Danio rerio: one gene and its partners. The protein of the gene in region 3 interacts with the protein of the main gene of each other region in a pairwise test. Links are inferred from orthologs where the notes say so. Each region holds a gene or a part of one and is shown on either strand. Other genes may lie near its edges.

Region 1 (5,634 bases), on a different chromosome or scaffold from region 3:
TCACAAATCTTGTATATGGAGGTCCGGTGCCCTGCAGGGTTTAGCTCCAACTTGCCTCAACACAGCTGCCTAGGTGTTTCAAGTATACCTAGTAAGACCTTGATTAGCTTGTTCAGGTATGTTTGATTAGGGTTGGAGCTAAAATCTGCAGGATACCGAACCTCCAGGAACAAGTTTGGTGATCCCTGATATAGGGGTTCTGAACTATCTGCTACATTTTGTCATTTTATGCACTGTGTTTGTCATAAAGTTATCTGTTACTCAAATGACAGCAGTCTGTATTTAGCTTTTTGCTTGTAGAGTAGCTGTTTTCATCCACCTATTTTTATGTGCATTTTGGATATGCGCATAAAAAAAAAAAGGTTGATGGAAACGGCAAGATGCGCATAAATTTTGAAAATGTGCATACAAAACATATGCGCATAAGTGAGTAGGATAAACATTTTATTCGATAAGAAAATATGTGCATAAACTAAGATGGAAACACTTTTACCGCACAAATTTCAGTATGCGCATGTGATTATTGTTATAAGAGATCATGTGTTGATAAAAAAGTGTGTAAATAGACAAATCATTTGAAAAGTTGTTTTGTTTGTTCTAAATTGTCGTAACCATTTCAGTATTAGTGTTATTACATTATTAATTACCTCCAGAACTGTCAAAAGTGTCTGTGCCCCCAATTTCACGCATTCAAACACCACCATTTGTTCAATGCGCGTCGGCATCGTCTTCTGAAGCGCAAGCCATTTATTAAATTAGTAAAAGATTGACGCAGCTTCTACCGTAGCAAATATCGTTTTTACTGTAGATATTTGCCTCCAGTTAATCTGGAAGTGACAATTTTTGTTCTCTTTGACTGTTTGGATAGAAACACTGCTTTATTCACACGTCTTTGTTGTGAAATTCCAGTTTTGCTCATGAAATTGATTTGAATATTTGGATGGAAACATAGCTGGTGGCTCTGAACTGTCAAAACACTCTCAAAGTGCTTTTTCGGATGCGAAAAGTGGAAAAAAATCAAACCCGGTTCGATTTTATAATGGACAAAAGTTTTGGAGGCATTGTGTCAATACGATTCACACAACATGAGGTTGAATTAATTGGTCATCCTTTATTTTGATGGTCAGTTTGTTAACTTTAAGTTACATTGCATCTACATGCTAACTAATTCTCATTAAATTACAAGTAGACTGTAAGGTTGGGGTTAGAGTTAGTGTAAGTTGACATGTACTTGCAAACTTTCTTATAGTCAGTCAAATGTCTGTTGAATATCTGTATCAAAACTGTATCAACTGTATCTTCTAATACTCAAATGGGCCATCAAGTGTTACCAATTAAATTTTTAACGTACAAAAACCGATTCAAGCCTCATTCACATGACGAGGAACAAGCAACCGTTTATTTCAACGGAGAGTGAGCGACTTCCGGCGACCTTCGTCTACGCGAGTGACCGCTGGCAAACAGGTGGGCGTGTCTAGTGACAAAACAAAGTTGAGAATCCTTCAACTTTATGCAAATGAAGAGCGACTTTTTTTGAGCGACAACCAGTAGGAGCACCAGTAGAGCTCATGTCATCTTTCTTCAGCTCGCTTAGAGGCCGTTTGTATTCTCCGTGCTGGAGACCTACACAGACCTGCTAGTGTGAATGAGGCATCAGTGTGCAATAACTTTTACCGTTAGTTTGTTATGAGGGAATGATGCACAAAAGAAAACCCAGCCCCCTACTTTATTATTTCATTAGTTTTGAGTGCATCCACATAAAGAAGTCTCAGCATCTTCCAGTTCACATGGATTTTAAATATTATCTTTATTAAGAAATACATTTTAAAAGTGTATTAACTTATATGTTTATTTGTGTTTCCATTTATAAATCAGTTTAAGGTTTATGGGACAGCAAGATGGCGCAGTGGGTAGCATGCAAGTGTGCCGCAAGCCTGCGTTTGAGTGAAGGTCTCGGCCGTTAGATCGCCCCCTGGGGGCTGGCTGCAGTACAAGTCATAAAGCCCGCCTTCTCCGTGTTAATGAAGGAGACTTGAGCCCAAATAAGAAAATTAATTACACTTGCAATAAAATGTCCCGAAAGATGGTTCTGGTCGATTAAGGCACTGGTTATTGTGCTGAAATAGGTGCAGATCTTCATTTTTGTAAACAGTTTGTTTTTAGCAGTAATTTAATGCTGGGCGTGTCATCGTGATTGAGAGCTGTGATTGACAGTTTCTTAAAGCAGCGCGTCTGAGCTTCGGCAGAAGACTGAAGTGTTATTATTCGATTTCTGTGTTATTTCACCATGACAAAATGAGTTCAGCAGTAAACTACAGTTTCTGACATACATGATCCTGGTGGAACACTGTTTATTCGCTAAGGTCAGGGCTTTTTTCGGGCTTTTTTAGTTTGCTAATACACGCCTAGCCACCCAGATAGCAAAATACACTCGGGCCAGTTCCGGTTAGATTCTCGCCTGTCGGAGACTTACCCATCAGAGCTCAGACTGACTACCTCTGCTGGACCTACTCCGGATGCCTGGACTTACTGCCCGATTCCAGCCCGAGTCAATCGAGCCAGATGCGGCGGCCGAGCGAGCTGGCGCTGCCGCATGCGAGCCGGAATCAGCCCGTGACGCCGAGAGTAGGTTATGCGCTGCGGCCCAGAGCCGGCACGATTGAATATATAAAACCCTCATATTTGTTAACGTTATTACATCCATTTGTGTTGATATGACAGCAAACGCATGCTGAGAAGTTCGGGGGGCGTGGTTGATTTTACATAAAGCGTTTGGTTGGAAGCTCGACTCATTTTCGCAGCTCCTCCTCTGGCTCCATCAGACAGTCCTTCTGCGCATGTCAAGGCTCCAATTTCAGCAGTCTTTTGCGACAGTTTGTGCCCGTCAAGCAGGCGTTTTGCCCTCAAGGCGTTCAATGGTAAAAGGGGCTGTCGCGTCGTCCATATTTTTTACAGTCATTGGTAGCATGATTACCTCACAGCAAGAAGGCCGCTGGTTTGAGCCTCGGCTGGTTCAGTTGGCATTTCTGTGTGGAGTTTGCTTGTTCTCCACGTGTTCCTGTCGGTTTGCTCACAAGTTCAGAAGCATGTGCTAAATTGTCCATAGTATATGTGTGCGAATGAGTGTGTCTGGTTGTTTCCCAGTGATGGGTTGCAGCTGGAAGGGCATCCGCTGCGTAAAACACATGCTGGATAAGTTGGCGGTTCATTCTGCTGTGGCGACCCCTGATTAATAAAGGGACTATGCCGATAAGAAAATAAATGAATGCTTAAAGTTTATTTTTAGAAACATATTTTATAAAGTTTCAATGTGCGATGTTTGCTTTTTATAGAGGTGCTGTGTGATCCAGCAGTCACGGCTCGATTATCTGACACCAAGGTGACTAGGTTTAGTTTGTACAATTGCAAATATAACTTCTGGCTTTCTGCAAGCACAGGGTGGGGTTTATTACTGTGTGATATTTGTTTTCTGTATTAGGCAGCTGGAGAGGTCAAGGCTTTGGAGGACTTTTACAAGATGCTTCAACAGGAGCCGGATCGAGCTTTCTACGGGTGATCACAATCTATCATTTAAATGAGCAACTCTTATCAGTAGTACACTCAACCTTAATAAGGATAACTTTTGTGTGTGTGTTTTTTTAATCAGTGTAACTTATTATTTATGAGATATTTGCATTCATTTTGGTTTTCTACAGGTTGGCTCATGTGGAAAGAGCAAGTGAAGCTTTGGCCATTGATATCCTGCTGATCAGTGACACACTATTCAGGTACTTTTAAAAATCCCTATTAAATGTTCTGTTTATAAATGTATTGTCTTGTTTATTGTGTACTTAAAGGGATAGTACACCCAAAATGAAAATGTACTCTCTATTTACACACCCTCAAGTGGTTTCAAATCTGGTACACAAAAAAAGAAATTTATAAGAAAACTAAAAACATGTAACCATTGACTTTCATATTTCTTTTTCCTACTATAGAGGTCAGTGGTTACGGGTTTTTTACCACTTGAGCATGAGTAAATAGAAAGTAAACATTCTTTTTTGGTTAAACTATGGTGGGTGAATTTGCAATTAATTGCTAAAGCTTTTATCATAATAAATGATATTATCACTATACCTTACAATACTTATCGCAACTACGTTGAAAGGTATAATTACCAAACATTACCTAGTGTTTTGATTTATTGCATATACTTGGTTATATTTAATTGCAAAAGGATGATAAAGTGCTATAGGTAACACAGTTTCATTGGTAATCATTAGGTAATGCACTACAATCAACAATAAGAAATGGCCGTATTATAGTTATATGTTAAAGTTAATAATAAATATAACTTAATTAGTTATTAACTTCATTTATTAAAACTAGAATTTCTCACTTTATTTTCTTAGTTTAAACTAAGATCACCTAAGATTAATAAATGTTTTTGTAGTTGTCATTGCATTGACTTTAAATTAACTGATGTTAAAACATTTAACTGTACTGTACAGAGTTAATGAACAAAAAGCCTATAAAAAGTCAATGAATTTTCAATTTCGTTGGTCAGATTAACATAAACATGTTAATGTTTGAAAATAAATCTTCTATTAAGTCTTCCAGCATTTGGTGGTGTGAAAAACAACCACTGCAAATAGAATCTGACTATTCTTTAAAGCACTCTAAAAATTGAAATCTCAAATAATTACTTGGTAGAGTAGTTTGTGCCCACAATATTAATATCACGCAAGTTCATAAACACGATATATTGAATATATGAATATCAGCGTACAGTGTTCAGCATATACAAATACACAACTCCCAAATCTATCTTTTAAATTCATATTTTTAATAGGAATCTATACAATATTATAATTGTATATATACTAGATTAGTCAGTACTGAAGTCAAATCTAGAGCTTATCTAACAAAATAACTTATGATAACAGTCCAAAAACTAGTACACCCACATTTATGTTATAGAAAAATATTAAATACAAATTAAAAAAAGAGGGAAAATAAAGAGAAGAAAAATGTAAAAATTTAGTTGAAATTTTGTAAGTTGTAATTGTTTTTACGTTATTTTGCTTGAATTGAATTGTATTATCTTTTCATTTCTAAATATGTTTGGTGATTAAAATATTATTTGTATAAATATATTTGTTTTAAAAATCTGTTTTGTTTAAATGCACGACAATACATTGCTTACATTCACCGAGAAATGGATACAAATATTCATTTTCAAAATGGGATGTACTCAAATATTTGCTTAGCACTGTATGTCTACAGTCATGGCCAAAAGTTTTGAGAATTACGTAAATATTGGAAATTGGAAAAGTTGCTGCTTAAGTTTTTATAATAGCCATTTGCATATACTCCAGAATGTTATGAAGAGTGATCAGATGAATTGCATAGTCCTTCTTTGCCATGAAAATTAACTTAATCCTGAAAAAAACTTTCCACTGCATTTTATTGCTGTCATTAAAGGACCTGCTGAGATCATTTCAGTTATCGCCTTGTTAACTTTGAGAATGTTGACAAGAACAAGGCTAGAGATCATTATGTCAGGCTAATTGGGTTAAAATGGAAGACTTGACATGTTAAAAGGAGGGTGATGCTTGAAATCATTGTTCTTCCATTGTTAACCATGTGACTTGC
Region 2 (5,709 bases), on a different chromosome or scaffold from region 3:
TACAGAAGAGTGGATAATTTAGTTTAGGCTATACTCTTAAAAATAAAGGTTCTGGATTGAAATTGATTGGCACTGAAGAATTGGCACTTTTTTAACATTTCCATTGAACAAAAGACACTGTGTAATGGATCAAAAGGCTAATAATATTATTAAAATGTTTCTTTGAAGAACTGGTCAGTAAAATTATCTTTGAGGGGAAAAAATTTGTTCTTCTATGGCAAGCTACAAAAGCATCTTTCAGAATCTTTATTTTAAGTTACAAACAGATTCTTACTAATTTAATTGTTGAAATGTTTTTCCTTTGGAGGGAATAGCCACTTATTTTATGTAGAAATATGCTTGCTAAGTTCCAAAGAAACGAATTGTTTATACTAACACCGTCATGAAGATTTCCAAAGTAGAGTGGGTGGTAAGATGAATAATAGTGTTATGATTACAATGCGAAAAACAGATATAGAGAGTTTCCTATGATAATGATATCTTGCACAGTTAATGTTTTAGAGAACTACAATAATATTATGATGCATTTATTACATATTATTGCTAACATGAATTTTATTTCCAAATGTAAATTAATTTATTGCAGCATTTTTGTAAAGTGCTACAAAGACTACATAGCTACATAGACAAGCATGTTTTGACTACACTTTATTTTGATCAATTTTAGACATTCTGTTGTCTATAAGTAACTCTCTCATTAGAGTAGTATTGGTAGACTGTTAGTAGGGTTAGTAGAATAAGTTATGTTTTTGGATTTTTAACCTTATAGTCAGTATATGTCTGAAGGACCATCAAAATAAACAGTTAGCAGAACAGATAAATCTGACCGTCTACTAGCATGCTAGTTGACATGTTAATGTTGCATAATGGTCAAAACAAAAAATTATTGTTTAATTAATGGCAGGTGCGGCGCTTGCTTCACAGCAAGAAGGTCGCTAGTTTGAGCCTTGGCTGGGTCAGTTGGCGTTTCTGTGTGGTGTTTGCATGTTCTCCCCGTGTTGGTGTGGGTTTCCCCCACAAGTCCAAAGACATGCGCTATAGGTGAATTGGGTGTGCTAAATTTGCTGTAGTGTATGTGTGGGAAAGAGAGTGTATGGGTGTTTCCCAGTGATGGGTTGCAGGCAGCTGGAAGGGCATCTGCTGCATAAAATATGTTCTGGATAAGTTGGCGGTTCATTCCGCTGTGGTGACCCATTATTAATAAAGTGACTAAGCCGAAAATAAAATAAATGAATGTTTAATTAAAAATGAGATATTTAAAGTATCCAGCAGACATGATTTTTTGACTCTTTCTAGAAAGTTCACAGAGACAGAAATGGCTGAAAGCATGTTATATTAATATTACAAAAGCATCATATTTTATTATTTTGAAGACTCACACTACACAAATAAATGAATACACATATACACATAAATGACAATCACCTCTTGATAAACCTAAGAAACCCTAAACTGCAGATTACCTTTAAAAAAAAGAGCTTGTTTAAAAAGAACAATAAATAAATAGTTGTTTTTTTTTCTCCAGTACAACTAAAATATTTAAATTGTTCAATAGGTAGCTATAACTAGTTAATTTACAAATGTTTCTTTCAAGAACTGTTCACTGTAAAGAACCGGTTCTATAAAGAACCCCAAATGTATGTCTTCACTGACATCACTCCAAAATAATATATTTGGAACAGTCTTGGAAAAAGTGCATGTTACTTTATGTGGCAATTAACATTTAAATCAGATAGTATGCAATAGTCAACATTTGGTCAACAGGAATAGGTGTTGTTCATTTTGTTTTTGCTTGGTGGAAAGAGTACTAAAAAAATCATACTCAAGTAAAAGTACCATTGCTTGCCCAAAAATGTAGTGTGAGTAGAGTAAAAGTACCTGTTGTAAATATTACTCAAAGTATGAGTAAAAAGTAGATCTTTCAAAAGTACTCAAGAGTAGTGAGTAGTGAGTATTACACTGTAAAAAGCTGTTACATGTAATTTGTGTATGTGTGTGGAAACGTAACATTCTGAGGTGCATTTAGTTATTGCCCAGCAGGCACACAACGTCATAAGACATTAATATTAGGTTAGATTTAGGTTGTGATGTCAGGTGACCAAAATTCAATGTCTAGACAGCGTCTAAGGACATCATTATTTTGACTTGTAATAACGACATCTAATGATGTTGATATTTGGTTGATTTTAAGTTGTGTTGAAAAGTGACCAAAACCCAACGTCGAGCCAACGTCATATTGACGTCAAATATATTTATTCATCAGGTATGGCAACTAAAATCCAACATGTGATAGACGTCGTAGTGGAAAAGATCACACAAACATCATTAGATGTTGATATTGAATTGATTTAAATTAGATGTTGATATTTAATTGATTTAAGGATGGACATTGGACTTTGACGTCGACCTGACGTTGGGTTCTGACGTCAACCTGGTTTTCATTTTCATGGTCTTCATTATGATGCGATTTGCCTTCTGTGTGATTTGATAGAACAGGAATCCCAGGACTGATTTTTCAAAAGTAGTGACTGCTGATTGAAGGAAAGTAGTGGAGTAAAAGTACAGATACATCACTAAAAATGTACTCAAGGGAAAGTTAAAGTACAGATTTTTAAAACTACTTAGTAAATTACAATTCCTAAGACAACCTACTCAATTACTGTAATTTGAGCATTTTTAATTAGTTACTTTACACCACTGGTTTTAGGACAGCTTTGTAGAAAGGGGATGATTGATTAAAGATGATGTTGACAACCGTACAGCTAGTAGGAAGTATTTCTCACAGCTGTGTCAATGTAGAATGCCAGATATGCTGTAATGTGAAGATTGCAGATTCACAGACATAGTGGAGCAAAGAACAACCCAACTTGCAGTTATTTATTTCAAACAGATATGGCGACAGAGATTCAAAAGCTCAATGCTGTAGTGTCATGGTGCCCATTGAAATGTAGTGTAACTCTTTTTTTTATTTTCTAGAGTATGAATCAGAGCCAGAGGCCTCAGAGTTTGACTTGGGGAAAAAGATCAGGGCACCCAAGGACATCATGCTAGAGGAACTGTCCCTTAATAAGAACAAAGGCTCCAAGATGTTCAAGATGAGGCAAATTCGAGTGGAGAAGTTTATCTATGAGAACAACCCTGACCTCTTCAGTAGTGAGTCTATGGTAAGGCAGGCTAGAAGTCAAAGTCCTATGCATATTTGTTCACAGATTCAAGATTATTTACATAAGATTGTCATTACTCTTAAATTAGTTCTTCTGTGTATCAGTGTTCTACCTGCATTCAGACTCTTTATATTGATCAAGGGTAATACTAAAATAATGGTCCATTAGGTAATGTTAGTTAATGTATTAACGAACATGAACAAACAATAAGTAATACATTTTTTAGGTATTAATTAATCTTTGTTATTGTTAATTAATGTTATTTACAGTAATGAAAAAATAGGACACCCCATGAAAGCCTGGATATTTTGAAAAAAAATTAATATATGGTTATTTAATCTGAATTTTAACAATACTGAAATATTAAGGTAATATAAAAACAAAGCAAATAAAAACGTATTTAAATTAAAGATTTAATTCTACAAAACGGCATATTCTAACTGAGGAAAAGGTTAGAACATCTCACATTTATTCACACTTAAAATGGCTCAAATCACAGACAGATGTACCACAACAGATGCACGTTATTAGTAAATCGTTACTCAGCATTTTGAATGACGCTTGCCATTTCTAAACCTCTGAAATTTATTTTGATGTGCTCCTGACTGTTGAAGTAAAAGTGAGCACCAAGGTTAGAGCAAAAGAGCTGTCTGAGCTGTCTTAGTCGTCGCAGCAAGTTTACACGCAAGATGCTAAAAGAGGTCTCTAAAAACCCTAAAATGTCTTCACGGGACCTACAGCAGGCTCTGGCTACTGTTGATGTGAAAGTGAATGCTTCTATAATCAGAAAGAGACTGCACAAGTTTAACTTACATGGGAGGTGTGCAAGAATAAAACCTTTGCTTTCTAAGACAAACATCAAGGCCAGACTGAAGTTTGCCAGATAGAATAATGACAAAGACCAGGGCTTCTGGAGTAATGTTCTTTGGACAGATGAGTCCAAAATTTAACCATTTGTACACCAGAACAGGCAACATATTTGGCATTTAACGACAACATTCCAGGAAAAAAAACTCATATCAACTGTAAAGCACTAAGATGGAAGTGTCATGGTTTGGGGTTGCATTGCTGCAACAAACAAGGTGCACATGCAAGAAACCCCTCAAACAGAATTCTGCATTGAAAAGTGTGCTACTCTGTCCTCAGACCGATGTCAGAGACTGGTAGATGGCTAAGAAATGTCTCACTGTAGTTATTTCAGCCAAATGGGGTTACACAAGCTATTACGGGGTAGGGTGTCCTAACTTTTTTCTTGTAAAATTACATTTACATTTTTTCAGCTAAAATTGTTTAATCACATTACCTTAATCTTTTTAAAATTGAGATTAAACAACCATATATTAAAAACCTTACAAAAACCCAGGGTTTCATAGGATGTCCTAATTTTTTCACGACTGTAAGTTAATTAATGTTAATTAATGTTAAAAAGCACAATGTTAGATTTTGATAATGCATTAGCAGTGTTGAACTATGATTAGTTAATGCTTTACAAGATTATTCATAGTTTGTTAATGTTAGCATTAACTAATTGACCAAGTGTTACCTGATCAAGTTCTTATTGCTAACACTAAATGTTTCAAACATGATCTGAATGGTGAATTGGAAGCACCTCCACTAATTATTATGTTACTTTTTGTAAAGGATAACCTCCAGAAGTTTGTGCCCAGCCTGGGGGGCCAGATGATGGATGTTGGTGGACGCCTGATTGGTGGACAGATGGCTGGGCATGCTGGTGGGGTCGGCCAAGCACCCGTGCCTCCTCCTAAACCCGGAAGCTTTGGCAAGGGAGCCGGGGGTGGGCTGCTGGCTGGTGGACTCGCTGGAGGACCTGGAGGTGTCGGAGGTGTTGGAGTGTCAGGAGGAGGAGTAGGGGGAAAGGATGGTCTGTCAGTAGATATCTCACTGAGTAAGTATAGAGAAAAGTTAGAGACTTTTTTTACACTAGCCAGATCGCCCATATATGAAACTTATAGTAATAAAAAGCATAGTTAATTAAAAATATGATATGCCTATCATTGTACTAGAAAAGCTAAGACAGGCGACACGGTGACACAGTAGGTAGTGCTGTCGCCTCACAGCAAGAAGGTCGCTGGTTCGAGCCTGGGCAGGCGTCAGTTGGCGTTTCTGTTTGGAGTTTGGATGTTCTCCCCATGTTCACGTGGGTTTCCTCCGGGTGCTCTGGTTTCCCCAACAGTCAAAAGACTTGCAGTAAGTGAATTGGGTAGGCTAAATTGTCCGTAGTGTATGTGTGTGTATGTGTGTGAATGAGTGTGTATGGGTGTTTCCCAAAGATGGTTTGCAACTGGAAGGGCATCTGCTGCGTAAAACATATGCTGGATAAGTTGCCGATTCATTACACTGTGGTGACCCTAGATTAATAAAGGGACTAAGCTGAAAATAAAATAAATGAATGAATGAACTTAGTCAACTTAAAACAGAAACCGAAAATACAGTAGTCATCATTTTAAGTGAATCAAAAATGATTTCCAAAATTGTCCTAGGACAATAATGGATGTTATTCAACAGTTTTAGGACAACTTTGATG
Region 3 (5,709 bases):
TAATCGACAACCATGATGGCACTCACACTGTCAAATATACCCCTGTCCAACAGGTAAGCACGCATTGGATGTTTCCTTCGCATGACTGCTTGGCTTTGAACCGAATATTGTCATTTTAATTCCAACCGTGAGTACAAGAGAAATGTTACCATCTCATTTCTGCTATAGGGCAACATGGGTTTGAATGTCACCTACGGTGGTGACCCTATTCCCAAGAGCCCATTTGCAGTAGCAATTGCCCCCTCTCTGGACCTCAGTAAAGTTAAAGTGGCTGGTCTTGGAAGTAGTAAGTAATCTATTTCCTTGTTTTGTTTGTAATGGAATACCCTTAGAATTACCACATATCAAACGGTTTGCTCTTTCTACAGAAATGACTGTTGGAAAGGATCAGGAGATCACAGTCAAATCTAAAGGTGCAGGCGGTCAGGGCAAAGTTGGCGCAAAGGTTACTGGTCCATCTGCTAAATCAGTGCCCTGTAAAGTTGAACCAGGCCTGAGCCCAGAAACCAGCCAAGTTCGTTTTATCCCAAGAGATAAGGGACCCTATGAGGTGGAACTGACATATGATGGCGCCCCCATCCCTGGCAGTCCATTCCCCATCGAAGCCATTGCACCTACTGACCCATCCAAGGTGAGAGCACTTTGGAAATGAAGTTAAACATTACTGCTGGTTTAACAAGACGACAAAAAGGCGTCAGGAAAACTCTCTCGTGGGCTGTTTAGTCTATAAACTAATTTTCTTAGTGTTGCGCAACACCTCAGACTTGGCATCTGAGCCTCATGTTGGCTTTAGCGGCAGAGAAAATGTACTCTTTGATCCATATCCTGACATTTTGTTCTCATGTGTAGGTGCGATGCTCTGGGCCAGGACTGGAGCGGGCGAAGGTTGGCGAGCCTGGACAGTTTGTGGTGGATTGCACTAATGCTGGCCCTGCTGAGTTGACCATCGAGATCATCTCTGACAATGGCACTGAGGCTGAAGTCCACATTCAAGACAACGGCGACGGGACCTACACCATCACTTACGTCCCTCTCTACCCTGGAGCCTATACCCTCACCATCCGCTACGGGGACCAGGATGTGCCAAACTTCCCAGCAAGACTCCATGTGGAGCCTGCTGTGGAGACCAGTGGAGTGAAAGTGTTCGGACCCGGAGTGGAGGGCAAAGGTAGTGCAGATTTCTGAGATTTGTTTCAGGAATCCGCTGTCTGTATTTGGATATTTGGTTACTTTTGAATGTTCGCCTGTAGGTGTTTTCAGGGAAGCCACTACAGATTTCACTGTGGATGCCCGTGCGCTCACTAAAACCGGAGGCAATCACATCAAAACCTGCATCAACAACCCATCGGGCAACCGCACTGAAGCACTGATCCGAGATCTGGGAGACGGCACATATCAAGTGGAGTACACGCCTTATGAGGAGGGTGAGTGTTAGGGCTGTTTCTGTTTCAACTTAACATGATTAAAAAAACAAAACAATTGGAATTCTTTGTGCAAATTTCTGAAAACTGTTCTATTTGATTCTTATCCATCATGGGTATTATGTGTTTAACAAACCTGTGGAATACAAGACCATATATGGGGTGCGTGCGTGATTGCGTGTTGTTTTTTTCAACAAGGAATATCACATTTTTTGTGGATTTGTATAAACAGATTTTGACATGAAGCTATTCAAGAGTGCAAATGAAAAACTTGATAATTTTCATTACATTTATTGTTCAAACATTATGTCTGGGGTATTTGAAAGATTTTTAAAAGGTGCTTTAAGTTTGTGAATCTCTCTATGAATTTTGATCTATCTGTTATTGAAAGTACAGTTGGGCTGTAGAATTATGGCTAAAATGAGAATCATGATTCGCACAATTTTCAAGATCTCGATTTTTTTTTTTTTTTTTCACGATTCTGTATATGTAAAATAAAGGTTAATAAGAGTAAGCTATTATTATTGTTATTTCTCAAATTTATGGTAAAACAACAACAATAAGAATATCAGCCATACGTGTAGTTTTACTATTGGTTAAAATGCTCAATTTTGTATAGTTCTGGAATTGTGCATTTGAACAGACTTTAAATATGTCCTGGTTGTTTATTCACAAAGTGATTATCAGAATACAACTTTTCATAATTTTGAAGTTGAATTATTATGTTTGAGACTTGTGCTTGTCATTTGTCATTGACAACAATATTAGATAATTTTTTCCACTGGTAAATTGAAACATGTCATTATCGGATTCCCTCTTGCATTATATTCAACATTATATAGGCTAGAGTAGTTATTACTGACCTAGTAAAGATTTATTCTCATACGCAACACTGTTGGGTATGAAAGAAAAAAGATATCAAATGCTTGTCGTAATCATTACGGACTTTTGGTTTTACTTTCACTGCCGAGTATGCTTATGACATGGCTGCCGTCACTTTGAGAAAAATAAAAAAATTAAAAATACACACACAAATCATACTTCTCGCACGACCCCCAAACAATTGCTCTGTGCATCAAACTGAATGTTATTTACAACTTTATTACCTGTTATTCACAGCCTGTGCAGGTTCTGTTCACTAAAAGAAGACATCATTGGAGGGCACACGCGCTCTGTAAACAGTACACTGTAGTAAACAAACAGTATGTCCGCTCATGCGTGAATACATCACATTAAGTCAGAAATTAAACTTTGGAGTAAATTATACCTCTTAAATACATCAGGTGACACTTTAATCGCCATTTGGAGGCGTCCGTGCTGCTGAGCAACGCATATAAAACAATGTGAAGTCTTGTGCACCTATAAAAATATAGGTGACTGAATCGTAAAAAAGAAGAATTAAGATCATGTGTAGAGTTGAATCAAAATTGTGACCTCTTAAATACAGGTGCTTAAATACAGTTAGGATAAAAAGAAAAACTTACCAAGCATTTATTATTTTGATAAAACATACAATCTTTTCACTCAAAAAGAACACTGCAGCTTGTCCCCTATCTTTCTACTCTAAGAATTATTCATAATTTTTAAATTTTTTTATTTTAGTAGTTTAATACATAAAATAAACAAATTTGATAAGGTGTGTACATCCATGCATTAAGGTGGTTATTTTAACAGAAATATGCACCGCTCTTTAAAATGGCTGTGAAATGACAGTACTTCACACTAATCTTTTGTACCGTATGTTAACAGGTACACACAGTGTTGAGGTTGCATATGACAGCTCCCCGGTTCCCAAAAGCCCCTTCCGTGTGCCAGTGACCGAGGGCTGTGACCCGGCGCGTGTGCGTGTGCATGGTCCAGGACTTCAGTCTGGCATCACCAACAAACCTAACAAATTTACCGTGGAGACCCGGTGAGCAGCATTCTGCTTTGCGTTTCAACCTTCAGCTGCTGCTCCTTCAGTCAAATCAAAGTCTTAGTAGATCTTGGATTAAAGTGCTCTGCCTCACTACTTTGTCTTTTGTGCAGTGGGGCTGGTACTGGTGGACTGGGGCTGGCTATGGAAGGACCTTCTGAGGCCAAAATGTCCTGCACCGATAACAAAGATGGCAGCTGTTGTGTTGAATACATCCCATATGAGCCAGGGACATACAACCTCAATGTCACCTATGGAGGCCAACCAATCACTGGTCAGATTTCATAAATGTTATTATATGACTAATTTTATTATTATTATTAGTTTAATTATATTTATATTCTTCTTTATTTTCCAATTCTCATAGTCCATATCCAAATATTGTTTGTTTTTTTTGTCCTGCCACAGGAAGCCCTTTCTCTGTACCTGTCCATGATACTGTTGACCCAACTAAAGTGAAATGTCAGGGCCAGGGGCTTGGAAACAACGTGCGTGCCAATATCCCACAGGTCTTTTCTGTGGATGCAAGCAAGGCTGGTATGGCGCCACTGCAGGTCAGAGTTCAGGGACCCAAAGGTGAGGAGTTCGATTTTTAAGAATCCTCTTCTTTTTTTTTTCTCTCCATTCCACTTAAGGTTGTTGGTGACAATATTTATGTCTTGTAGGTGTTGTGGAGCCTGCTGAGGTGGTGGATAATGGTGACCAGACTCACACAGTCAGCTATGTGCCCACAAGAGAGGGGCCATACTCCATTAATGTTCTGTATGCTGATGAGGAGATCCCACAGAGGTGACTTGGAAAAACAGATCAGTCTTCCTACACCATAGAGATACCACTTCACCCAAATAATTTTCTAGGCCATGTTTTACTTGCTATTATTATGGATCTAGCTGAGATTTATTACCAATTTTGACCATAATCAGAATTTTGTTACAAATCTCATTTTTGCTGCACTTTTTCACTACACGTCTTGTCAGTAGTGACTCTAAAGAGAATCTTTAATTAATCTGAAATTGTAATTACCTCTGGAAATGGATGAACAAACTCGAAACATTTTAGGCTACATTTTTACTTGTATTTTGTGTCATTAATTGATCATTCATATGTTAATACCAGTGTAAATGGTGCATTAGTGATGTGGTAATTACTACACTGTAAAACTCAGTAGTCAATTTTATCAAACTAAATGAGTGTCGGTAACTCAATTTACTGAAAGTTAATTCTACTAATTTGAAAAGGGTTTTGAACTTTGTTGAAAGTAACGAGTTAATTACATACCCCATTACTTCAACTTGGAGTAAGTTCACAGTACTCGTATAGATATTAGTTAACTGAAGTTGTTTGTAGCAATCTGTTTCGATAAACAGTTTGAGTTGCCTTAACTTATTGGGTTTTACAGTACTCAATTGGTTTAAGTTCTCTTTATAATTGGGTTCTACTGTGCTCAAATTCCTTTGTTTACTTAAATGGAGTAAGTTCACAGTACTCATTAGGATTAGTTTTTAAACTTGAATGGTTACCTTAACTTTTTGGGTTTTACAGTGTATAAACAATGGTTCATGCAGTAATATACAGTACATACATTCTGTGAGTAAATATGATTATATCAGACTTTTAACACCCTAGATAGTGAGTATTAATAATTATTTAAATGACTATTTAACAGCATGCAGTATTTAATAGCAGATTAGTTTATGCTCGGGCCTCAAATTTGGCATTTGAAATATTGTGAAATTTGTGGCATTGGCATGGACTACCGGAGTTGGTATTATAGCAGGTCTGGTGCATTTTTAAATTCCCTTGGTCCCTGTCTTTCCCTGCTCTTTATTTTCCCTCTCTCTTCTGCCTTCTTTATTCAGTCCTTATAAGGTGAAGGTTCTGCCCACTCATGACGCAAGTAAAGTCCGTTGCAGCGGTCCTGGCCTGAATACCACTGGTGTTCCTGCCAGTCTGCCCGTGGAGTTCACTATTGACGCCAAAGATGCAGGAGAGGGACTGTTGGCCGTCCAGATAACTGTGAGCTGATGAGTCACTTTACAGCCGTAGCATGCCCACTGTCTAGTACAACCTTTTTAAATAAATCCATTTGCTTCTCAATGCTTATTTTAGGACCCTGATGGGAAGCCAAAGAAGGCTAACATTCGTGATAATCAGGACGGGACCTACCTTGTGTCCTATGTGCCTGACATGACCGGCCGTTACACCATTCTTATTAAGTATGGTGGTGATGAGATCCCGTATTCTCCATATCGCATTCGAGCCCTGCCTACTGGAGACGCCAGCAAGTGTACAGTCACAGGTATGTTTGTACATTTACTGATCACTTCCACATGTACAGTGCACAAGCTGTTTATATTCATTTTAGATTGAACT
Region 4 (6,247 bases), on a different chromosome or scaffold from region 3:
TTCAAAACGAAGATGACTAAAGGTAGGGTGTTTGGTTATTTATACTAGGTTAGGAATAGCCTGATTGGTGGTTCATTCATTAGCTTGACTCGGGGCCAGCTGTGTCAATCATAAGCACGTGATCCTCTCGAAATTAGTTTATGAATAAACTTCACTTAATTTGAATTTTCGTCTCAAATTTACCAAGTTCGCTCTACAAAATGAAACTCTTAGCGCATATGGACTGTTAATTTGTATTTAACTGTTACTGTACGTAAATGGAAGTTTTACCTAACATAATTCAAATTCAAATTCAAATGCTCAAACGATCAAATAATAAATCTAAATGCGTTCTTAAACAAGAAATTAAATGTATTTGATATTTAATTTTAATGAAATGAACAACTCAGAAAAATCCTATAATAATTGAATGACAAATCAAATGCTCAAACTATAATTCAAATGGAGGAGCTAATTTCTGATTCTTGTGATTACACACACACAGCTGGAAGCTCATGATGGACTGAATGCTTGGATTTTGTTTGTTCTTATAATGTATTATCTCTTAGTACCGATTTCCAAAAGAGTTTTTGTGTTTACTCAGTTTCAAACATTTTAGGTCAGTGCAGTTGCTGTTTTCAAAAATTGAGTACATGAGAAAAAGCGAAAGGAAATAAGAATTATTTTTTGTTAGGAGTTTTTTTGTTTACTCAGCTGGCGTTGTTCAGGCAGAAATAGATTTTAGCACCTGTTTTATAAACTACATAGCAGACAGGGCTGAGAAACACTTATATTTTGTTTACAATATGCTCAGTTATTACTAATTATTTATCATTTATCAGTGTGGCATATGTGGTTTGAAGAAACCACACAGATGCTCTGAAGCGGTGTTTAACCATGGATATGGTTGTAGTGACGTCCATTATGAAAATTAACCAGGGTTTTATTATAGTGAATGTGTAGTAGCCATCGTTTACCATTATTAATCTTTTACAGCCATATTTAAACTATGGTTTTTGGCACAAGTTTAATTTGTGGTCACCTTGGTTAAACTACACTTTTCATTTTATTTTCTTCTTTATTTGTAGTAAAAACATGGTTAATTTCGTTGTGTCACTCTTTTTTTTTTTCTGATTGACTTAAAATTAGGTATTTTCTAATCATAACACAAGCTCCTGATTCTTCGAAGACTTAAATTACACCCACAAAAAAAAAAAAAATAATAAAATATATATATATATATATATATATATATATATATATATATATATATATATATATATATATATATATATATATATATATATATATATATATATATATATATATATGAATTTATAGTAAATATAGTGATTTTGAACCATGATATAATAAATTACCTGAATTAATCTGTTGTAGAAGTAACACAGTTTCTATGTATGGTGACCTAACTGTAGTAATAAACAATTGACCCATTACTATGTTTTTTTACTATGTTTTTTAATATAATTGCGTATATTATACTACAATAAACAACAGTTTGCAGTTGTGAAACTAAAGAATACTGCGGTATTTACTACAGTTTGTCACTTCATTACAGATAATATGCTGTAGTGTGTTGTAAATACTATAATACAGTAAAATATACTTGGCTAGTTTGGTTCAAAAAGTGTATTTACTATGAACTACTATAGTACTTTTTCATGTAGGCAGAGAAGGAAAGTTGTGTATCGGCCAAAGATACAGGTCACCCTAATTTTTCAGAAGTGTGACACACTAATCCCACAGTAACCCAGTACACTTTCTCAAGAATCAAGGCAATTTAAAGCCACAAATGTTCTTCAGAAATCGCAGAGGTGCATTTTTTCTCGCAGAGGTCAGTTCTAAAGCATTTTAAAACGTGTAAATTGATTTACACTAATGCTTTACACACACTTTCGCGGTTTGCTTTATATTATTCTCTAAAAGCCAAACGTTTTGCTGAAATGTAGGGCAGAGCTGTCAAACGCAGCTGTCGGTCCCCCTGCTGGTTGGAGCTTGTATTGACATCATCTGCTCGGCCGCTCTGGATTGGCTCCAGGCGCATAAAGGCTGGCGGTCAGAGTGCGCGCTCTCTACTCGTTCTCAAACTGGCGCAGCGCTGCTGGGAGACACTTCTGCACTTTCAGGAGGACCACAGACGAACAGAAGACACCGGCTATAATCAGCTGGGGACTTTTGTGAGAATTCAGCGAGTTCTGCTGTTCACTTTTGAAGCTGCCTGTGAGAATATAATCGCGCCTACTTTGGATTTTACTCTTTGAGATCATGAACTAACGTGAACTTCATTCACGGAGTTTTAAACGGCGGGATTTATACAATTCAAAGGTAACCTAACGTTAGTCTCTTTAAGGGACAGCTATCGCTTTTATACAGTCTGAATCTATTATAAAGCGCATTAGGAGTGGCTTTTGTTTATGTTTTAATTAAATAAAAACAAATGCATGTGACTGGTCTGCGTATTATTCTGTAACGAGCACTTTTGGAAACATGTTCGGCGGCGTTTCCAAATCTAGTAAGATGCCTACCTAGGCGGCATTTTGGGCATCAAAATATGTGCGCTAAAAAAAGTTCTGGTAGTGTTTTAACTCTCTTCAAAAACACGCTATGTACACTGGCACCATGCTAGATTTAGTACAGTCATTATACATTGTAATTATTTAGTAGCCTAAATGCTTTTTAACGAATGAAGTCAGTTGGTAAACTACTGTATAGGGCCATGTACTGTAGTTGTCAAACTGAGTTGTCACAAGGATTATACCTCAGTAAGCAAGGTTTTAGGTGTTCAGGAGAAGTTGTCACATCTTATATTGGTATATACTTACACAATATTTAGTGTTTTAAGTCAGATCAGCAGTTTGAAGTAGTTATTACATTAACATTTTGCTGTTTCAGAAATGTTGTTTAGGTTTAGACACATTTTTATATTTAGAATTAAATTTAGATTATTTTTTTACAACCTACTTAAATGTGAATGTATCTGTGTTAAAAATGACTCTCAAAAATCCTTTAAACCTGAGGAGAAATTGTGTACAAGTTGTGAGAACTATCTCTGTTCTTCCATATAAACCATATATGTTATTACTTTTGTTTCAGGCTTCTGAAGGAAACAACAGGTCTCCCTGTGTGGCTTTGTTATGGGACTTTAACTTTAAACACATCTTGCATCGTCTTTCTTCTTGGAGTGAATTTGGCTAGTTTAAAAAATTATAATTGCGCTCTTCCAGAAATGGTGGGGCATTTACATTTGCAAGCTATGGATGACAGTTTGAAAGGAAAGAACCGAGAGGGACTGCTCGATAGTCCGGATTCGGGACTCCCTCCAAGCCCCAGTCCACCCTTCTACTCTCTGTCGCCGGGGATTCTCGAGTCGCGGTCCGCCAGCTGCTCAACCCCGACCGAGCTGCAAGGATACTGCAGAAAGGAGAGCCGGGAAGGCAAACTGGTATGCAATCATCTCAAAGCTTTAGAGGAGAACCAAGAAGTGCATTTTCCTGGATCAACATCCTTTGCAGGCAGTGGAACAATATCCTTATCAGCAAATCAGTGCACTGATTTTAAGGATAGGGGTAGGGTATCGTTTGCTGTCCAGGAAAAGTATGTTGATGCAGGAACATGTCCTACTTTGGTAAATCGTACTATGCAGTATTTAGACATTATGTATGACTCAGGTTTCAAATAAACACATCACATCATGATGTACATCAGACATATTTTTATTACAATCAGTTTTCATTGACTACATTCACATCAAGGATATTACTGAGAGCAGTGTTCAGTATGGTTACACTCACACACACTTCAGTTACAGACAAGTGTGACTTCTGCACTTTATAAGTGAGTGTGTTTTCTCTTTGGGGATTTGGAGAATGAGCTGTGTGTCATCCAAAGGTTTTAGATAGAGTTGTTGTCTAACATGAGTTTTGTGAGCGGAGAGATGAGCTTGCATCTTAAATGCACCCAACTTTTTTTGGATCGAAAGTTGACAAAAGAAATAATAACTTGGTTCTGTGCATGGGTTTTTAATTGGATGCAGATCTTAAATGTGAGCTTGAGGTTGTGTGTTAGAAAGCGAAAGGGTTTAAGCAGGATAAATGTTTTGATGTGTCCTGCAAACACCAGAGACAAGTCTGTCATACTAGAAGATCCTTTTATTAAAATTTAAATGGGCAATGTTTGCTTGAGTTGTATTAGAACTTTAAAAGAGAGGTTTCCTCAAATCCAAGGTATTTAAAGGCTTGTAGACTGATTTTTAACAGGATGTTTTTGGTGAGAAAATCAAAATAGTTCAGATATTAACTCTTGTAGGAATCCTTCATCTAGGGCTGGGCGGTTAATTGAAAATTAATCGAAATCAACATTCAGAACCTATAATCGATTGAATTTTTCCTGAACAATTTTTTCAATTACTTTCCCTACCGCATGTGGAGTCACATGACCCAGCTCTGTTAAACGCTGAGGGTGATTAACTTTGCACTTTGCAGCCACATCTGCTCTCTGGTCAAGTAGTACGATGGACCCATTTTTAGCCTTACTTTGCACTACATTGGCGATGATTGGAAGCTGCATCAGAGATGCCTTGAGACGGCATATTTTCCATTACATTAAAATCATTATTCACATTAATATATTTGTTTACAGAAGAAATGCACTATTTAAAATATTATTTACAGCCTGGGTATACAAAATTTATTTTATTTAAAAGAGAAACTGCTTAATTTCTACTTTTAATATGAAATAGATTGAAAATGTTAATTAAAAATATTCAAAAGTGCAAGTTGTTTAGGCAAAGTGTGCTTTAATTTCAGTTGTTCAGAATTGTTGTTTATTAATAAATCATAGATAGTGTGTGTTTCCTTCAGTTATTATAAACTTAATTTATGCACCAATCATACAAAAACCTCTTACTTGCAATTTGGGAGCATATTTATGGAACAAAACTTTTTAGTGAACTATGATGGCAAAAAAAAAAAAAAAAAAAAAAAAAAAAAAAATATATATATATATATATATATATATATATATATATATATATATATATATATATATATATATATATATATATATATATATATATATATATATATAAAATAATCATTCATTAATCGTAATCGAGTTAAAATGTTCAATTAATCGAGGTTTTGATTTTAAGCCAAATCGCCCAGCCCTACTTTCATCCATATGAAAAATGAAACGAATGCTTATACAATGTGTACAATAATGTTGAAAGAGTTATTCTGTTTATGAATATTAACATATTTATGTTAACGTCACTCTCAGCTTGGAAAGTGTCTGGATGTTCATTATTAGAATATCGCAACAAATATTTTTCTACTTCCTTTTTAGCTTCTAATTAAGTTATGATAAGACAAATCTTAATGAAATCCACTGTGAAAATATCTGAGCATTGTATCATGTTGGATCTTTTGTGTTATGTGTGCATGAGTGCGGCATGAGAAATAAGCTGCTGACTGCAATTTTCTTAACTCTAAAAGTCAGCAAGACCCGAAAGTTGCTACATACCTTTATTTCAGAATAATGATGTATTTTGAGAAACTGAGATCAAAAATTGAGTAGGTGGGGTTTTATTTTTGCACAAATAAAAAATCATATTTTACTCAACTGCAAATAGTTGGAGGGGTCGTGGTTTAGCATATTTCAACCAAGCTGTCAAACTGAAATCATCAGAGAAGGATTACAGAAATAAATGGTTTGAATTTATTTTAATTATTTTTGTTCAATAGTTTAATCTACACAGATTAATTAGCCACAAAAAAACATTGTTAATTAAGATTTGTTGCAGACCCTACAGAGTCATTAATAACAAAGGTTTATGAATTACACAAACAGAACCTTTAATTAAAAATGACAAGATCACATATTAAATTAAAAATACACATGAATTAATAATTCACAATAGGATCAATATTATGCATTGATGGGGACTTTAAATAGTGTCATATCAGCTGCGATATGGAAGTCACCATTTGTGATATTTGCTCTAGTCATTGTCACTATGGCTACAAATGATATTTGCAAACTGTAAAGGGGTTTGACTTCAGTTACTCATCATAGCTGATTCTGTATGAACAGCAGTTTAAAAGTGAGCAATCAGTGATTGAAAGAAATTAGGTTTAGTCCAAACAAAATGTTTAAATATTGAAGAACATATACATTTTTTTTGTGAACACAGACAAACACTGTTGGCGATATAGAAGCCAGGGACAAATAATGAGAAGTAATAGGACAA
Region 5 (6,404 bases), on a different chromosome or scaffold from region 3:
TATAACACACACCATCACACATCGATACACACCATCACCCCATCAGCAGAGATCTGGAGGTACAACACCTGTTGCTGCACACCATTGTATAACAACACACACTATTGCACACATCAATACACACTATTAGACATACCATCACACTAAAACATACACCATCACATATTAATACTCACTATTATACTTAACTTTACACTATAACACACACCATTACTCTATAATACACACCATCATAAACCAATACACACCATCACACATTAATACACACTATTATACTCAACATCACACTATAATACACACCATCATATAACATTACACACCATCACACATCAACACACGCTATTGTACTCAACATCACAGTAATACACACCATCACACATTAATACACACTATTATACTCAACATCACACTATAATACACACCATCACACATCAACACACGCTATTGTACTCAACATCACACTAATACACACCATCACACATTAATACACACTATTATACTCAACATCACACTATAATACACACCATCACAGCACAATACACAACATTATACACACACATCAAATCATAATCCACACCATCACACAATATTGCACACCATAATAAACACATCACACAACAATACTCACAATCACACCATTATACACGCCAACAAACAATACACAGCATCATAATGTAATGGATAAAGTTGTGTGTTTGTGCTGCTGAAGTGGAGATTTCTGACTCACAATGTTTCAAACTGAAGATATTTATTGTCATTGAACTCTACAGATGCAAACATTTAACAACAAACACATCCAGGTCTATTCAGCATTCTCCGCTAGTCTGAAATACAGTATAGAGTGCATGAAAAACTGATTTAACCTTTGCTGTCTCACCATGAAGCAACTAAACAGTCTATCAATCATGTTCATGATCCCATCAATAGCAGAAGAATATAGAAGAGTGTGTGTGATGCTGGTGTGTGTGTGTGTGTTTTCAGGCGATGCGGAGGCAGACAGAGATGGAGCTGCGCATGTTCAAGCAGAACGAACATGTTTATCACAGCATGCGTGAAGCCGCCCTCACCAGCAAACCCATGAGCGTCGCTGGAGAACAAGTGCAGATCAAAGCATGAACACACTCACACACACACACACACACACACACACACACATGAACAAACTCAGAAACATGCGATCATTCATGCAATAAATGCATTTCTGCAGATGCTGCTGTGTTGTGATTGATTGTAGGAGAATCACCTTTACAAACACACAGATGAAGATGATGATGATGATCATGAGATGCGTCTGCTGATCCTCTTGTAGACGATACCATTAAAGCTGAGAGTCTGAAACCAGATACGTTAATTAGGTTAAACTGTACACAGAGTTACTAATCACACACCCCAAATTCAGACATGGTCAAGTTTGACATGTTTAAACCTGTCCACAGCTTTCAGTCTCCTTTCATCTTTCATTTTAACATTGACAAAAAGCTCTGTTCATTTATCTTTTACTATTAATAGTTACTATTAGAGAGCTCTGGAATTCAGTTCTTCATACTAACAATTATGTTTAGAGAGCCCTATTATGCAATCCATACTAGTAGTAATTAACACAATTAGAAAGCGCTATAACTACATTTTCACTGGTAATGTCGCCGTTGACCTCCATTGATTAGAATTACAGATCTAATGGATTTATACTAGGTAAAGCATTTAGGGAGCTCTTTAATTAAATTCTCACTATTAACAATTCCAGTTGGAGAGCTCTACAATTATATTTTACTAGAAGAAACCTACATTAAAGATATATATTTTTATTAAATGGGAGAGCTCTATAATACCAGTCCTAATAGTAAATATTTAATTATTGAGCTCTCTAATACCATTCCTAAAAGTAAAATTGTATTATTGACCTCTAATACTATGATAGAAATTCAACTGTTGAGCTCTCTTAAACCATTCTCACTAGTAGAAATTCAATGATAGAGCTCTCTAATACCATTCTTACTAGTAAAAAATCAATTATAGAGCTCTTTAATACATTCTTAAATGTAAAATTCTAAAATTGAGCTCTAATACCATAGTAGAAATTCAATTATTGAGCTCTCTAATAACATTCCCACTAGTAGAAATTCAATGATACCAGTCCAAGTAGTAGAAATTCAATTATTGAGCTCTCTAATACCAGTCCAACTAGTAGAAATTCAATGATACCATTCTAACTAGTAAAAGTTAAATTATAGAGCTCTCTAGTACCATTCTAACTAGTAAAAATTCAATTATTGAGCTCTCTAATACCATTCTAACTAGTAGAACTTCAATTATAGAGCTATCTCATACCATTCTTACCAGTAAAATTCAATTATTGAGCTCTCTAATACCATTTTAACTAGTAAAAATCAATTATAAAGCTCTAATACCATTATTACTGGTAAACATTCAATGATAAAGCTCTCCAATACCATTCTTACTTGTAAAATAGAGCTCTCTAATGCTGTAAATCCTGTAAAAATTCAATTATAGAGCTCTCTAATACCATTTTTAACTAGTAGAAATTCAATTATTGAGCTCTCCAATACCATTCTTGTAATAACACAATAACAGATCTCTCTGCATTCTTTCTGGTAAAAGATAATAATTATATAGCGCTCTAATACCATTCTTAGTAGCTCTATTAGCTCTAATAACATTCTTACTAATAAAAAAGCAGTTATGAAGAGGGCGCTTTTTAGGTTAATTTGGTCTGCCATGAAGAGATGATGTTGACTTACGTTACTGATAGTGTCTCCATCCAGCTCCGTCACAGACTCAATCCCCTTGACAAACGCTGTCAGCTTATTACCATCCATTTGAACCACAGTCTAAAACACACACACACACACACACACACACACTGATCAATTCCACAAAACCTCACTGTAAAAAATGTATAGTGTAAATTTGAAAAGATTTGCATGGTTTGTACTGTATTTTTCATGGTGAAAAACTGGCAACCACAGCTACTAGGGTTTGTTTTTTACAGTAAATGTTATGTGAGTTTATGTTGTTGTTGATCTACAGTAATATAGTTGATGATCAGACTACACTGACTTTAGCTCTGTCTCCAGTGAACGTCTCCAGCTCACACTCCTCGCCCACAGTGAAGGAGTACAGAATGACTTTAGTTCCGGCCGTCACCGTCACCTTGAAGTCTTTTCCGTCCTGATGGATCTCAGAGATGCTCTTAATGTCTTTGCCTTTCTCGACCTCATCATCCGGCACACCTGGAGAAAACCCAAGCTGTGAAATACGCCTGCATGCTGATATACCGATGAGAACTTCCTGCTTTCTAATCCAAATATCTAATATTCTCACATCAAGAAGCATTTTTAGAGAAAGAAGTAAGAAATAATGTGTTGTTTTCAGAAATTATGAGTCAAAATAAAGAGAGTTTATCATTAAAACAAGCAAAATAATCTGCCAATGGTGTAAGTGAAATCATCTAGTTTTTCTCACCTCCTTGTCAGATTATTTTGCTCGTTTTAATAAAAAACTAAGTTTATTTTGACTCATTATTTCTTAAAACAAGACAATATTTTGTGCTTGTCTAGAAAATGCTTCTTGATTTAAGATTGTTTAGCTAGCTGGACTAGAAACAAGACAAGAAAAGCATTAGTGATGTGTTTTTCTCTCACCGACTGCCTTCATGAACGCCTCAAAGTTCTCGTGAGACTCCAGCTGATATTTCCCAGTGAACGCCATCAGCCTGATTAATCAAAGGTAAACACAACACATTATTACTCAGACTTTACTCTGCTAACATGATTTCTTACATTATAAAAGTCTCTTTTTTTCAGCATCAAAAGTCGACAGAGCAGAGATCAACTTTCCATAATGCAATTCACAGCCACAAATGAATGTAAAACACTTGCAAAATACTGGAAATTGTAATTAGCAGATATTTTTAGTGTGTGTGTGCATATATATATATATGCAGCATTCCTCGGTATATCCTCATTAGTGTTCAACAGAAGAAAGAAACTCTTGAAAGCAAGACTGAATGATGACAGATATTTTGATTATTAGGTGTACTGCGTCTTTAAATCTGAACTCTTACCTGTGGTGTGTGTGTTCAGCTTCAGGAGATCCTGCAGAAATGCAGCGTTTTGCTCCTACAGGCGGTTTTCTTCTCCTTGAGGGTTTGTTACGTCAGACTTTAAACCTATCAATGCACAATACACCGTTATATAAAGACAGATCAGATTATGATTATGCCACTGAGAAAATGCGCCAGTCTGGAATAAATGTCCAAAGGTTGCACACAACTCAAGACGTTTCCGCTTTCTCACGACTCTCACGTATATTCATTTTAATTATTATTTTTTGTTTCAAATAATTCCCAAGTGCTGTTTATTTATGAGAAGATGTTTTTCAACACATACTGGTTTTAATAGCTTGTTTCTAATAACTGATTTATTATGCCGTATGGCAGTATATACTGTAATATTATGTCAGATGTTTTGCAAGATTCATTCATTCATATTCCTTCAGCTGAGTCCCTTTATTCATCAGGGATCGCCACAGCTGAGTGAACCACCAAATATTCTAGCATGCGTTTTACTAAGCGGATGCCTTTTTAGCTGCAACCCAGTACTGGGAAACACCCATACACACTCAATCACACACATACTCGTACATTTCGGCCAGTTTACAGGGTTTCTGCAGGGTCTTAAAATGTCTTAAATCTCAAAATCTAAATTTTAGGCCTTAAAAAGTCTTAAATGTTCTGAAATATTGTGTTGGAGATCTTAAATCTGTTTTAAACAGGTCTTAATTTTTCTTTGTTCATGTATTGCTACCAAATCTGACCAAAACCCATACAATCACCCACAATCCTCTCAATAAAACATTAAACCTTTTATTTAAATTAATGCAATATTTTACTTTTAAGATAAATAATTTTCCTTACTATTACATTTGTTTAAAAGTGCTCCATGTATTTACTGCTGAGGATACTGACCTGGACTGATTGTTGTGCATACATTTAGTTAATTATAGTTTTTAAAACTTTTGTTTGTTTATTTTTCTTTAAGTTTATGTTGGAATAAAAGTGTATGGGAACATGTAGAGCTTGCTTGATTTCACACAATATGCAAAATATTTTGCTAAGAAATAAAATCTAAAATAATGCAAAAATTGTATTATTAAATTATTATTGTATTATTAAAAGTATTATAATTAAGTGTAAATTGATAGGGCAAATAAAATCTTTTCCATCTGGGCTATTAAAAAAATCTTTTGCATTTAGCCCTTTATGGGTCTAAAAATTAATTCATTAAGGTCTTAAAAATGTCTGAAAAGTCTTACATATAACTCTGAGAAACCTGCAGAAACCCTGATTTAGTTTGATTCTACTATAGCGCATGTGTTTGGACTGTGGGGGAAACCGGAGCACCCGAAGGAAACCCACACCAACACGGGGAGAACATGCAAACTCCACACAGAAACACCAGCTGACCCAGCTGGTAACCAGAGACCTTCTTGCTGTGAGGCCACAGTGCTAACCACTGAGCCACCGTGCCGCCTTTATTTCAACACATATTAGTTTTAATAACTCCTTTCTAACTGCTGATTTATTTTGTTTATGGATTTATGAAGTAATTAAAAAGACCACAGGAATTGATTTAGATTTGTTTGTATGTGTTTATTTTTAATCTCAAAAACAGGTGACCGTTCAGCACGGTGACTCAGTGGTTAGCACTGTTGCCTCACAGCAAAAAGGTCGCTGGTTTGAGTGTCGGCTGGGTCAGTTGGTGTTTCTGTGTGGAGTTTGCATGTTCTCCCCGTGTTGGCGTGGGTTTCCTCCGGGTGCTCCGGTTTCCCCCACAGTCCAAACACATGCGCTATAGGGGAACTGATCAACTACACTGGCCGTAGTGTATGAGTGTGTGTGAATGAGAGTGTATGGGTGTTTCCCAGTACTGGGTTGCAGCTGGAAGGGAATCCGCTGTGTAAAACACATGCTGGAATAGTTGGCGGTTCACTCCACTGTGGCGACCCCTGATGAATAAAGGGACTAAGCTGAAGGAAGATGTGCTTTTATTGGTATTTTCAATGTGCACTGCATTGACACTCCTGCATTTGGTTTAATTATATCTTTACACACTCATATACTTTCAATAATTGTATTACAATTGTATAAGATAATAATTGAATTACTTGTATCCAAGGTTTGGAAACGTTTGTCTAATTGGAAGTTAAACACATCTTTATGTTTATATCCCGAAGGTATTGACAATCAAAACATTGAGGGAAAAAATATATAAATAAGGTTTAATAAAAGATCTCGTATGTCCTTTCCGGGATTGCAGAAACATGAGCTACCATAAAAATATCATTGTCTCAAAGAAATTAATAATATCTTGTTATCATCACTT

Evidence for each region.
Region 1: the proteins of flna (region 3) and pelo interact in binary tests that used the Homo sapiens proteins (3 or more experiments, as listed by UniProt). The link is inferred for Danio rerio from reciprocal best matches to the Homo sapiens genes FLNA and PELO.
Region 2: the proteins of flna (region 3) and myoz1a interact in binary tests that used the Homo sapiens proteins (3 or more experiments, as listed by UniProt). The link is inferred for Danio rerio from reciprocal best matches to the Homo sapiens genes FLNA and MYOZ1.
Region 4: the proteins of flna (region 3) and rflna interact in a two-hybrid assay, tested with the Homo sapiens proteins (2 studies listed by BioGRID). The two-hybrid records come from large-scale screens. The link is inferred for Danio rerio from reciprocal best matches to the Homo sapiens genes FLNA and RFLNA.
Region 5: the proteins of flna (region 3) and fabp1a interact in binary tests that used the Homo sapiens proteins (3 or more experiments, as listed by UniProt). The two-hybrid records come from large-scale screens. The link is inferred for Danio rerio from reciprocal best matches to the Homo sapiens genes FLNA and FABP1.

The regions. Positions count from the first base shown.
Region 1 is NC_133187.1:13,763,413-13,769,046, reverse strand, and holds part of pelo (protein pelota homolog), read left to right. Parts: intron 1-3,332; coding exon 3,333-3,379; intron 3,380-3,478; coding exon 3,479-3,552; intron 3,553-3,695; coding exon 3,696-3,767; intron 3,768-5,634. UniProt on the Homo sapiens protein: Component of the Pelota-HBS1L complex, a complex that recognizes stalled ribosomes and triggers the No-Go Decay (NGD) pathway.
Region 2 is NC_133188.1:25,416,166-25,421,874, forward strand, and holds part of myoz1a (myozenin-1a), read left to right. Parts: intron 1-2,976; coding exon 2,977-3,164; intron 3,165-4,805; coding exon 4,806-5,070; intron 5,071-5,709. UniProt on the Homo sapiens protein: Myozenins may serve as intracellular binding proteins involved in linking Z-disk proteins such as alpha-actinin, gamma-filamin, TCAP/telethonin, LDB3/ZASP and localizing calcineurin signaling to the sarcomere.
Region 3 is NC_133198.1:22,691,545-22,697,253, forward strand, and holds part of flna (filamin-A), read left to right. Parts: coding exon 1-53; intron 54-168; coding exon 169-286; intron 287-368; coding exon 369-631; intron 632-849; coding exon 850-1,168; intron 1,169-1,250; coding exon 1,251-1,424; intron 1,425-3,170; coding exon 3,171-3,333; intron 3,334-3,449; coding exon 3,450-3,610; intron 3,611-3,744; coding exon 3,745-3,912; intron 3,913-4,001; coding exon 4,002-4,125; intron 4,126-5,195; coding exon 5,196-5,352; intron 5,353-5,445; coding exon 5,446-5,635; intron 5,636-5,709. UniProt on the Homo sapiens protein: Promotes orthogonal branching of actin filaments and links actin filaments to membrane glycoproteins. Anchors various transmembrane proteins to the actin cytoskeleton and serves as a scaffold for a wide range of cytoplasmic signaling proteins.
Region 4 is NC_133183.1:51,760,748-51,766,994, forward strand, and holds the start of rflna (refilin-A), read left to right. Parts: upstream 1-2,096; 5' UTR 2,097-2,325; intron 2,326-3,093; 5' UTR 3,094-3,226; coding exon 3,227-3,442; intron 3,443-6,247. UniProt on the Homo sapiens protein: Involved in the regulation of the perinuclear actin network and nuclear shape through interaction with filamins. Plays an essential role in actin cytoskeleton formation in developing cartilaginous cells.
Region 5 is NC_133180.1:78,474,753-78,481,156, reverse strand, and holds fabp1a (fatty acid binding protein 1-A, liver), read right to left. Parts: upstream 4,126-6,404; 5' UTR 4,090-4,125; intron 3,748-4,089; exon of another isoform or gene 3,737-3,747; 5' UTR 3,730-3,736; coding exon 3,663-3,729; exon of another isoform or gene 3,252-3,662; coding exon 3,079-3,251; exon of another isoform or gene 2,952-3,078; intron 2,850-2,951; coding exon 2,760-2,849; intron 1,333-2,759; coding exon 1,279-1,332; intron 1,252-1,278; 3' UTR 1,244-1,251; intron 1,214-1,243; exon of another isoform or gene 1,117-1,213; coding exon of another isoform or gene 982-1,116; 3' UTR 732-981; downstream 1-731. Other genes in the region: histone-lysine N-methyltransferase SMYD1a, read left to right, coding at 982-1,116.